Linked DNA regions of Drosophila melanogaster. The protein of the gene in region 2 interacts with the protein of the main gene of each other region in a pairwise test. Each region holds a gene or a part of one and is shown on either strand. Other genes may lie near its edges.

Evidence for each region. The genes of interacting proteins can lie anywhere in the genome.
Region 1: the proteins of CG4582 (region 2) and CG14837 interact in a two-hybrid assay, tested with the Drosophila melanogaster proteins (one large-scale study listed by BioGRID).

The regions. Positions count from the first base shown.
Region 1 is NT_037436.4:7,555,007-7,562,470, reverse strand, and holds CG14837 (uncharacterized protein), read left to right. Parts: upstream 1-2,433; 5' UTR 2,434-2,648; coding exon 2,649-2,748; intron 2,749-3,774; coding exon 3,775-4,249; intron 4,250-4,895; coding exon 4,896-6,603; 3' UTR 6,604-6,691; downstream 6,692-7,464.
Region 2 is NT_033777.3:25,580,357-25,585,058, reverse strand, and holds CG4582 (uncharacterized protein), read left to right. Parts: upstream 1-1,879; 5' UTR 1,880-2,094; coding exon 2,095-2,591; intron 2,592-2,790; coding exon 2,791-3,592; 3' UTR 3,593-3,836; downstream 3,837-4,702.

The sequences.
Region 1 (7,464 bases), on a different chromosome or scaffold from region 2:
AGAGCGCACAAATGTCACCAGAGGGGGACGCGTAGAGGAAAGCTATTTTTACCCATGGTATTATCATTAGCATTGGGCTGTGATAATTAATGAGGTTCCGTCATCCATTGAACTTGATCGCATTGATCCTTCAGCAGCTGTCAAATGCGGTAGTCTCTAACATAATTTATATTAGCTGGTACTATATAGAATAAATAGTCTGCTCGCTCAGCTACTCTGTAGATTATCACAAATGGTTTTTAATCGTAATTGTAATTGAATACAAAAGGACGTAGTTCGCCTTAAATATAAATAAAGTTTGATACTCGAAGTATTTATATGTCGGACATAATGGATTTACACCCACAACTACCTGTTTCAAATGCAAATACTCATAAAGCATTTTCGGCTCCCACACTCAACAACCGTCTATTCCATCTTTTTCATTTTGACTTTTCTGAATCAAATTTTACTCGTTTATTTACATTTAATATTCTTTTCAACATTTTTATGGAAAGGAAGCTATGTTAAGATGCGTATTAGAGATTAGGGTACCATTAAAAATAACTCATGATTATATTTTTTGATATTCTTTAGTAAATCAAATTGTTTAACTTATAAAAATAACGCGCTTATACAAGGTATGAAATTATTTAAGTATTAAGTATTAGTATTTATTTAAGTATTAAGTACACATAATTTCATAGATTTTTAAAGAGGACCATCAATAAACAAATTGCCCATCTAAGCTCAAGATATTGGCGGAGTGTTAAGAGGTGAAACTTTCGCATGGGGGAGGCCATTACATCACAAGATTGGTCGACTGGGTCTCGAGCACTTTTGCTCTATTGTTGAGCGCATTATTAAGCGCCGCTTAGCTTATGTAATTAATGTCAAGCCAAATGGCAGTGCCAAGAGCCCGAAGTGGAGAGTCTAATGAACCAGCTGCGTGTGCTGATTTATATGCGACTTTTTTAGCTGGTTTGTTTGTACACAAGTATGTTATAGGTCTGTCTATCTGTCCCTCCGTCTGTCTGACTGTTTGTTTGGCCTGGCCAAATTGTGTTTTGTCACCGTCACCATCACGGACGACGTCTCTCGATCGCGCACTTAGGCCTCGTTTATGCGCAGGCTCTGCTCGATACTCCAGTTTCTTGGGCCATGTGAATGTGACATAAGTCGCCGGGTGTACGGCCATGATATATGAATATGACAAAGCGACATGGACAACTTTATTGGCTCATGAAAAGCGCTGTCACTGCTTGACTGACATAAATCGCCGAACGGCAGAAATAGGCATTCAGCGCCACAAGAGCCAATCGATTGCTGCAAAAAAAAAAAAAAAAATTGTCCAAAAAAGTGTTTGGCCAAAATAAATCAAAAATCAATCTTTTCGAAGGGCCCCTCGACGATCATCTCTGTGCGGTGGTGTGGGCCACAGTGAAATCTAGCGCAATCGAGCGATTTGCATAGGACAGAATATGCCGAATCGATTGCATAGTTCTTATCTGATTGGAACTGTCAACCCAAGCGGATATTTCGCTTCATTCATGGGCACGGACAAAAACTCATATGGAAATTAGAGCAACAATTGGACATCGTGCAACGTTTCTAAAAATAATAACCGTGTGGAGCCTTCATTGACCAACAGACAAACACACAAGCCCACGTCAGGAATGTTAGCAAGCGAATGCACGCCACCTATCGGGCGAACTGGGCGTATCCCGACACGCTACCCCCTCACACACACACACACACACACACACACACACACACACACACACACACACACACACACACACACACACAGATTTTCGTATCTGAAGCCTTGTTCTTCACTTTCCCTTGTTGTGTTTTCACTTTGGTGACGGGTACTCATAGGCTACCAGGGTATGCCAGCCATTAAGTGATGCTCAGGATCGGTAAACATTCGATTACACATATAACCTTTAAGTATGTTATATTTAGGCAGCCCTAAATGGGACTGAACATTGAACTAAATATTGAAGCTCTATGATTATATCCTAAATATGTTAGATAAACCATCTTATATATAGTTCAGTAAATAAATATATACATGTGTTCAAGCAAACTGATTACACTGATTGGTCAACATCTGAACTAAATTTTGTATAATTCATCTCAGTAACAGGTACTCGCTGGTCTAAGCTCTCGCTCGTCGGTGCCCCACCTTATTTTGTTGCAGACCTAGAACCCTTTTAGCTTTTGGCCTATAACTACCTTAACTATGACTATGGTAAGTGTGCGCCCAACGCGCATGACCTCAGCAATTTCACTTCACTTGAAGTGCAAACGCACATGCAAACTGTGGGGCTCCAAGTGCTCCATGGGTCCGGTTGACCAGTCCAGCTCAGAACGGTCCGGTCCTGTTGCGTGCCCAGTAAATGGCAATGGTAGGGATGTGAATGGGGATTGTCGGCGGTGGTCGAGTGCCGAACTGACCCTTCACTTTAGCAGCGAATGTTTTGGGTCAGTGCTCAGTTGCGTTGAGTTCGTGACCAAAGGCGGGCGTATTTCTTATACCCAATTCATAATCATATTCATATTCGATATAAATAAATCCTCGGCTGTTGCTAAAGCAATCCACATCGATTCCCGCTCCGATCGGCATGGTTCCGCGATTGTCTGGCTCGAATTGAGAAGAAGTCATGGGCTGTGCCAGCAGCACTCCCATGGTTGCAACGGCGGGCAGCGAAATGCTGAAAGCCGCCAGCCATGTCAAACAGAAGGGCGAGGCCGTCGTGGAAGGTGTGTGTGCTTGTGCTTTAGTGTGTGTGTGTGTGTGTGTGTGTGTGTGTGTGTGTTACCAATCCGTGCTGGCCATTAGTTTAAGTGTTGGCCAGCAGATGACATTTAGGAGTGTGCGGTCGAAGGGCAGTTGCAAGCTGGCAGTCGGCGTATACTTGATATTTCGAGCGGATACTTAATTTTCGGCGAAGGACAGTCTTAGATCTAAAGTCAATTATTTGATGTTAAGGTTTCTAGAATTGCATTGGATTATTTTTAGTTGGCACTAAATGTGCTACTCATACTACTACAACTACTAGTAGTTCAACAATGATGGATGGCATTGAGCAACTACTCCTACTTCGATAAACTAAAGTCCTTGACCCCTGGCCCAAATCAATATTAAATCCATCTAATTACCGGCCACCAACAATCTAGTAAATTCCCACTTAATGCCAAAAAGAAATTCGATACATCCAGCCGCAATGTATGTAATAAATTTGGTCGTACTTCACATTATTATAATAACAAGCCACGTAATAAAGGACAATTGGCCAGCGCAATGCGTGCCGCGGAGCCTTTTTTGGCCTGATTTTTCGCCATTTGGCCGCCTTTCAGAGGGTCGCAAGTGAAAGCTGGCTCCATTGCCATCACCCGACCATATTTTTATACATTTATTTAACGCATATGAAGAAAAACGACTTGGTTGCGTGACCAGACGTCAACGAATTAGAGCAAAAACATTGACTTAAAAATATTATACTTACATGTGCACTGAGGGAAAGTACTATTATTAAATGCGGACTAAACTGTGCAAATTGGCTTCAATTATTCGAATATAATGTTTTTTTAAATGAAAATTCGACACCAATTCACGTTTCATGTCTCGTTTAAAAAATTATTAAAATTTTTTCTTTAAACTAGTCAAATGTGGTGTTATTACATTTATTATTTTCTTACTGCACATTTATATACTACTTATATATAAGCACTCCCCTGTCGGAATCGACAACTGAAAGTGCTTTCATTCCCGTGCTTTCCTTGCAGACGCCTCTGAAACACTGACCACCACTTTGGACACGGCCAAGGAGACCGTTGGCACGGCGGTGGCGGGAATTACCACTGAGCTGGGCAACGCCTTCAAGGAGGGCACTCAGGCTCTGGACGAGGCCAAGCACAAGGTAATGGAGGGTCTTCACCTGGAAGAGCCCCAGGTTTCCGAATCGAAAACAGATCCGGTAGAGGCAACGATGAGCAGTTCCCGAGCACCGACGCCCAAAATGCAGGAAGATACAGATAGCCTGAAGACCTCCACTCCAGAGCCGGAGATCGAACGGGCTCTGGCCAACGAGGAGGAGAGCCCACCGACTCCGAAACCCTCGCTGGAGGAGATGGTTCTGATAAGTGCCGAAGTCTCGCAGGCAACTGCTGCTGATGCGCCTGCAGTGGATGCACCTGCCTCGACTGCCGAGCCTTCATCAGCTACAGCAACAGAAGCAACCGAATCCTCCGCTGCCGTGGAGTAAGTAAGCCTAGAGAGCACCTGAAGCATCGCAAATCCGTAATCGCTAACCCGTAACCCCCGTAGCCCCATCGCAAATCCGTAACCTGTAGCGCCACTGCACCCTGAAGTTTTCGCGTAGTTTGTACCTGCAACGTTCGCTTATGATTCGTAGTTTCCGTCGTAGTATCCCGATATTTACATTTATTATGGCCTAATCAACATACTTTCTCCTCTCTCTTTTCTTGACTTGTATGTAAATTGTAAATAAACTTACTCTACTTCTATGTACATATCATATACCCTGCCTTTGTTTACTTGCGACCTCAGCAAATATAACTAACAAGAACATCAACAGCAAAGTCATGTGCGTAGTATTGTGGTAATATTTTAAATATATTTTATACGTTCATTAATATTTTATTCGGTTTGTCGAATAAGTGCGTAATTGCAGAACTAATGACCATAATATTAAAACCTAAAATACATTAACAATTATATCGTTTTGAGATCGTTAAAGATTTGCAAATACCACTTTTACACACACACAATCTCACTTATATACTAAAAAAAACTAAACACACCACCAAAAATTTAAAAAAAAAAATTAATACACTAAAAGACCATCCACACTTAAATTTTTATACACTGAATACTAATCCCCCAGAAGTCGTAAAGTGCGCCGCAAATTGGTCAAAACGAATAAAACGAATGATGAGGAGCATAGACCCAGCACCACCGAGTGGGAGAAATTCGCAGATCAGTTAGCCAAAAGCAAGAAGTTTAAGCCCTACGAAAGCTTCGCCCACGGTCAAAACAAGTTCTCCGTTTACCAGGATCACACCAGTCTGAGGGATAAGCCGAATCACTACGATGGTCATTTTAGCGGTGAAAACTCACAGAGTGCCTCCCAATCGGATTTGTCCAGCGGCCACATAACTCCAGCCCCCACTCGCAGAGGGCAACGGGAGTTTGCCAAATTCGTGGGTTCCGAACAGGCGGGTAGTATATCCCGGTCCAGTTCCAGGCTCTCGAATCCTGCCACTTCCAGGACCTTCGATTTCAATCCCCAACGCGAACGCATCAGTCTTTCCCTGGCCACTCGCATTGGTTCCGGTATTCAAAGATCTCCTGCCGAACGGGTTTCCGGTTGGGGTAGAGGAAGGCCGGCTCCCTTGGTGGAGGAACCTGGATACGGACGCAGAATGAGCACTGGAGTTATTCAACAACCCTTGATAGCCGGAAGAGAGAAATTTCTAGGCACTGGAAGTCGCCGGGCAGTAAAACCCATAACCCCGACAAGGGAAAAGTCTTCTAAGAAGCAGCCTTCCAGGATTATTTCTTCGCGAGAGTCATCTTATTTGGATTTCGATCCTCGCAGTCCACTAAGGATTACCAACACTTTACCAAAGGATGTAGTACGGTCCAGAGAACCATCTTTGAATGAGTTTGATTCCATTAAAGCTCAAAGGACGCCCTTAAAAGGACAAAAGCCCTTTACTAAGGCCGTAGTACCACTAAAGTCTTTGGAAACCAATCACAATCCTTTTAGGCTACACAAACCTTCAGTAAAGGAGACTGTTAAATCTAGAGAGCCATCCTACATAGAATTTGATTCTTTCAAGGAGGATAAAAGTCCTCGGAAATCACAAGCTATGGAAAAGAAAATGGTACGCTCAAGAGAGCATTCGTACCATGAATTTGATTCCTATAAAGCACAAACGAGTCCTTTTAGAACTTCTCTACCTATGCAATCAGATGAAGCCCCGAAACTACCTCAGAATCTCACCAAATCAAACAATATTCCAAAGGAGCAATTACCGCACAGAGATCGCAGTCCGAGTGAAGCAACTCAAACTTCAACAAATCAAAATCAATCCTCTGCACCTCAATCACCTAAAAAGACAGACACTCCAAAAGCTGTTGTTTCCAAATCAAAGATGTTATCACCACCGATTTCCAGGGCTTCCAGCGCTAAATCCTCAGACAGCAGCAATTTAGATGTGATAATCCGACCAATGAGCAGTCTGAATACACCTAGTATAAAGTCCTTTACTCAGTCACCGGATCAAGTTGTTATGGAAGGCTATGAAGATTGCGATTTGGAGGCTGCGCTAGCCAGACTGGAAATCTTGAGAGGATCAACGGCCACATTGCACTCCCTAAGATCCTGCAGTCCTGGCAGGCACACCTATACAGCCTCCTTACTAAGTTCTCGACGTACCTCTCCTTGGGTTATGAGAAAGAATTACGGAGGCACTCTTGGCCATAAAATAAAGCCAAAAGAATTGGTGGAGTCTCTGGAAACTCCACAGGCCACTCATAAAACCCTCGAACGCTGCGATATTTGCTACAATGAGTTTCTTATAAACTAGCTTATTCCATGACCGAGGATAATAGCAAATGTTGAGCTTGTAATTCTTTTGAAATTCTTATATATTTATTAAAATAAATTTATACACGAAATTACTGCCGTAAATAACTGAGAAGATTGCTCAAATCTACTACTTTTACTTTCATTTCGAAATATCATAAATGAAATTTTAGTTAGGTACTTAAGAAAATGTATATTTTTTATATAACATAGAATAACCACATGCCTCATTGGGTTATCTAAATAAATTCCACCTACATATTTACGCTGAAAATAAAAAATATATGTACTAATAGATTGTTTAATATTGTGCAATCTCACAAACTAAGAAGTTGTGTGCCATTGCAACGCTTTAATTACAAAATTTTTATGGCAGGCAATTTGTCTCCCGGGAGTTCAAATCAAAACCGAATCACCCTGCAGTAGGATTTGGGTTCCTCTAATTGATGACTTAATAACGAAATTGAAATGTTTATCTTGCCGTTCACTCAATTATTCTGCCACTTGTAGTTGCCTGCCTCGGCGGCAGGCGGTATGAAGTTCGATTTTACGTTTTACGGCTTCACGTTCCCCGTAGCCGTGATTCCACATGGCTTCCACATCCACATCTCCCGTCCGTGACTTAATGAACTATTAACAGCAATGATAGTAATTTGTTGCAGCAGCAGCGGTGGCGGCAGCGAATGAAATTGCTTTCGGGCAACAACGAGTTGTCTTCATGGCACTTTTTGGCAAACAAATAGACAATTCAACAAAGCGACATGCAGACAAATGGCTACAGTGGATACTACCAGCAGCAGACATATATCTGCTTGGCTTTTCGCGGGGGTGTTACCTATGTTTTCGTTTTACTCACCCCCCA
Region 2 (4,702 bases):
GACAAGTGCCACTTGAGAAAATGCTTCTTTTTTAGCGATGGGGCATACCCATCCGCTAGCATGAAGGGTGCACACTCGACTGGTAAATGCTGACACCAAAGACCGGCTCAAGTATTTTGCGGGCAAATAGTCCAGAGGACGGGACACTACACCCATCTACCCATCCACACACACCCGGCATGTGCCCACATCCTTAACCAGTCTGAATATGCTCGTAATAAAAGTCACTCGAGTGACATTTTTGAGCTTGCGGCCATAAAGTAAAAGGCAAACAAAGCTCAGACTGCTGGAGTTCCTTTTTCAGTCGCTGTTTTTAATCGATTATTGTCGCGTTATTGTTTTTTATCCCCCATCTCTGCGATGGCAAACAAATCCTGTCTGAGTGTCGCATTGCAACAACAATGGGCATGCTGCAAAAAATGCAAATGCAGAAGTCCCAGCACAAAAGATTGTACATTGAACTTGTGCCGTATCATCATCATCTCTTCGGGGGCGGAAGTGATTTTACGGGGGGGCGAATTGAAATGTCCTCGCATGCTCCGTGACATCATATTCAATATACGCGCACATAATCCCGATAAGAGCGGGGTCTGAGATATGGTTACCTTCGTTTATCTTTCCCTGCTCCTGAGGCTTTTATTTCTACCCTACATCACGCTGTTCTCGTTGTTTTCGTCACGTTTTGCGATCGGCGATAAACCCAATGGAAAACAGCTATGTCCTGCAGCAGGTCCTTCGTCGTCGTTCTTATTTTCAGGCAAGAAATGCACGCGCCGGATGTCGTTAAAATGGCGACCGCCACTTCCGGTTGGCGGAATTCGCGGAAATATGTGAACTTACCTGGAAAGTAAACAAGAAGAAATGTGCAAATTTTCGATTAGTATGTTTATGCCGCAGGCTTAAGAAAATATTTTTTTGTGGGGAAAACACAATCACAAGATTGAGATACATAGTGTTTTAAATATAAAGAGAATGTTAAATCGAATTGTGGCTTGTTGAAATGTTCTTGCATTCAGTTCAATAGCGTTTCATAAAAGTTGGTAGCACGTGTTAAAACGATTTATTTTATTTATTTTAAATACTTTTGTTATTTCCGTCCGTAATGAACGAGTATTTGTGTTATTTAACTATACATTCAGAAATATTTTAGGCCAGTATATTGACCTATCCCAAAAAAGATTGAACTCCCGTCATCGAGTGCTAAATGGTACAAAAACTTGGTCAGTGGCACAGATTCCTCTCTTGCGCTTCCCCTTCCCATGACCACTTACTACCAGAACTTTTGTTGACCCAACAGATTAACAGCTAATGGGAGGGCACTCTTCCAGTAATTCCCGTCAACTCAGGCATTAACAATTACTTCTCGTTAAGAGAAATCATCGAAGATGAGAGTGAGAAAAAGTGTGAAGTTCTGCATATTAATAAGCCGAAAAATGAAAATGGTCAAAATATTGTGGTAAATGCCTGGCTTTCGTTCAGTACAATTCAGTTCGGAATTCCAGTTCGTCGAGGAAAGATCAGATTTTGAAAATATGGGAAATGTTGGACATTTGGCAGTCGTTTTGCAGGCAGGTGACTATCATCAGCATCATGAACTGCGGGAGCAACAGTAATGTACACGGACAGAAAATATCAGAAAATGTTGTTGTCAATTGATCAAAAACTAAGTGTTGTGTCACTTTTGAGAAAGTTTATGCATAATAAAATCTTTTTTAAGACTTAATTAAACAGTGCTATGAAAATGTGAAAAATCATAAAAAAAACACCTTTTTAAAAATCAATGATTTCTGGTTTTTCTTTGTGTGCCTTACTCATTTGCGGATTGGTCTAGTTGCACAGTTTCGAGACTAATGCATTTTCATTTCGTTGACACCAGTTTGTTTGTGGCTCGCTGCAGCAAAGCTGAAAGCGTCTGATTACAGGCCTGGTTTTGAGGACTATAATGTCGCTGCAGACAACAATCAATTGCAGCAGGAGGAGAAGGTGATGACTATGGCGATGGCGATGACTCCGGCGAAGACGAATCCGAGCCCGAGACCCGCAGTGCAAGTAAAAGTGACAAATGAAGTGGAAAGTGCCCTCAGAATGGGAACAATGATGATGCGGATGAGAAATCGGGGCGGTAAGCGGTTGCAGGCAAACTACTTTGACACACAAATGCCACTGCTGTCGTCTGGCCTAATGAGTCCCGGCCAGCTGCCAATATTGGATGAGCAGCATGGGCGGCAGGAGCAATTGGAGAGGCATTACTTGGCCCACGGGCCCAGTTCGGTTGAACAGCAATTACTCCGCCTGCAGCCGGACTACAAATTGCTGTACAGTGCCGAGCACCACACCTACTTCCACCTGCATACCCTGGTCCCGCAGGACAATGCCAACCGCCAGACAGGACCATTGAAATCCGAGAAGGAATCGCCACATCGCCGGCTATTCCAGCAGGTTGTGGGCAACACGCTGACCGCCGCCTTTGGCCTAAACGTGATGAACAAGGGGGACCAGGAACAGAACCAGCAGTTCACCAGCGAACCGGTGAATCTCTACGATGCCGCCTCGTTGCGCCGGTCTCGCTTCAGTCCCTTCAATCCCACCAGGTGAGTGCAGCCGGATGAAAGCTACCCGACCATTATCTGTGAGTTTTGAGAGCCATTTCGATAGCCAATTTCGGTTTTAAAGGCCCTACGGCCAATGGAAACTTGTTTTATTGTATACAAACGTATTGGGGTTGCACTCAAGAATTATATGATTAAGATATTTCATTCAAAGTTCAAAATAATATATCATACTTTTCAGAATCCTCATTCACGGCTGGTTGGGTAATGAAAATGCTAACATGTACAACGAGCTATTGCCAGCTTACTTTGATCTGAGAAATGGCAACTACAACATCTTCACTGTGGACTGGGGACGTGGAGCCATAGCGGACTACATAACGGCCAGCTATAGGGTCAAGCCGGTGGGTCAGGTTTTGGCCAAGTTCGTGGACTTCCTGCATCAGGAGGCGGGAATGCGTTTCGAGGATCTTCAGCTCGTCGGATTCAGCATGGGCGCACATGTGGCGGGACTGGCAGGCAAACATTTGCAGACCGGTCGCCTTCGGATGATCCGAGCTTTGGATCCGGCTCTACCCTTCTTTCGGTATGCCAAACCAAAGGAGCGGCTGACCGCCGAGGATGCCGACTATGTGGAGGTGCTGCACACCAGTGTGGGCAGCTATGGATTTGATCGACCCGTGGGTCATGTGGATTTCTATGCCAACTGGGGCAGCCAGCAACCAGGTTGCTTTTGGCATGAATGCAGCCATTGGAGGGCATTTATGCTGTTTGCCGAGAGTCTGGCAAGGGATCAGGCAACGGGCTTCTTATCCCAGGGCTGTCCAGCTGCTGAATGGCAGCAGTTGACCCGATTCCATCGCTGCCCAAAGGACACCGGAGTTATGCAGACCATGGGCGGGGATTTGGCCAACGTGTCGGCGGAGTTCTTGGCCCAAAGACAGGGTGTCTATTATTTCCAAACAAACGACCAGCCACCCTATGTTTTAGCGCAAAATGCAAGCTCGAAAAGGGCGGCACACATACAAGAGAACAAGAAATAAAGAGCGAAATGGCTGAGAGAACGTAATGAGCAAAATGCAAGTGCAGTTCGCGTTTTTATTTCTAATTAGTAAGTGCATGTGTACTATACACACTCACGTGTGTGTATTTGTGCTGTCCCATTTCTAAAAGCCGGCTGGCAAAATTAAAAAATGCTGCCATGTGTAAAATGCTTTTCATGCCAGTCGCAGGCAGTAAAAATAGCAAAAAAAAAGGGAGTAAAATTTATGAAAACATCCATGCAGGAAATAGAAGGAAGAACACAAAACCGAGTGTAGTTCAGTCTGGAAAATCAAAAAAATAGGAACCGAAAAATCTTGTCTGCCAGACAGCTCGGAAAATTAAAAATTGCATTCCCTAAAACTTGTATTAAATGTATTTTGTAACTACCACATATAATAAAATTTAACGAAAATGTAGCAAGCCATTTTTGTACTGATCAAGCTGTATCTAAGTTAAGTTTGAAGTGTTAAATAAACAAGCCTAATATAAAAGTTGCGAACAACACCAAGCTGAGTAAAAAAGCTTTGTAAAAACAATGAAAAACTTCTCGTGAGTCCCCCATTAATGTTTCAGCCTGCATGCTGGCATTATAAATTCAAAAACTTGGCTTAGCCGGCAAGTCAAGGCTTAAATGGCCAAGGTAACACGCTCCTGCAAAACATATAGCACACTTTGGGGCATTGAGACCTTGGTTCTGGCCAAATTGTCGCACGGCTGCCGCTAATGTGATTTTTACGCATCATTTGAGTGAGCAGCAGTCCATTGGCCAAAGGGCACAAAAACGTAGAAAACTTGGCAGCTGGCGATGGATGCCATAGAAAATTACGAGAACAAATATTGGCAAAAGCAAGACAAATATGGCGCACAACATTCCCTTGGGTTGATAAAACGAATGAGAGGAACCGCAAGAGTATTTATTTTGAACATTTTTGTAATATGTTAAGTGTATTTGAATTCGTTTTCCGAGAAATTGCATATATAAAATGTGCTCGCTGAAACTTCACTGACTTGACATGACTGAGAAAAAGTCTATGAAAATATTTAAATAAATTGTATAAAGCTGGCACAACTTCACAAATTGAAATGTATGTGAAAAGTTTGATGCATTT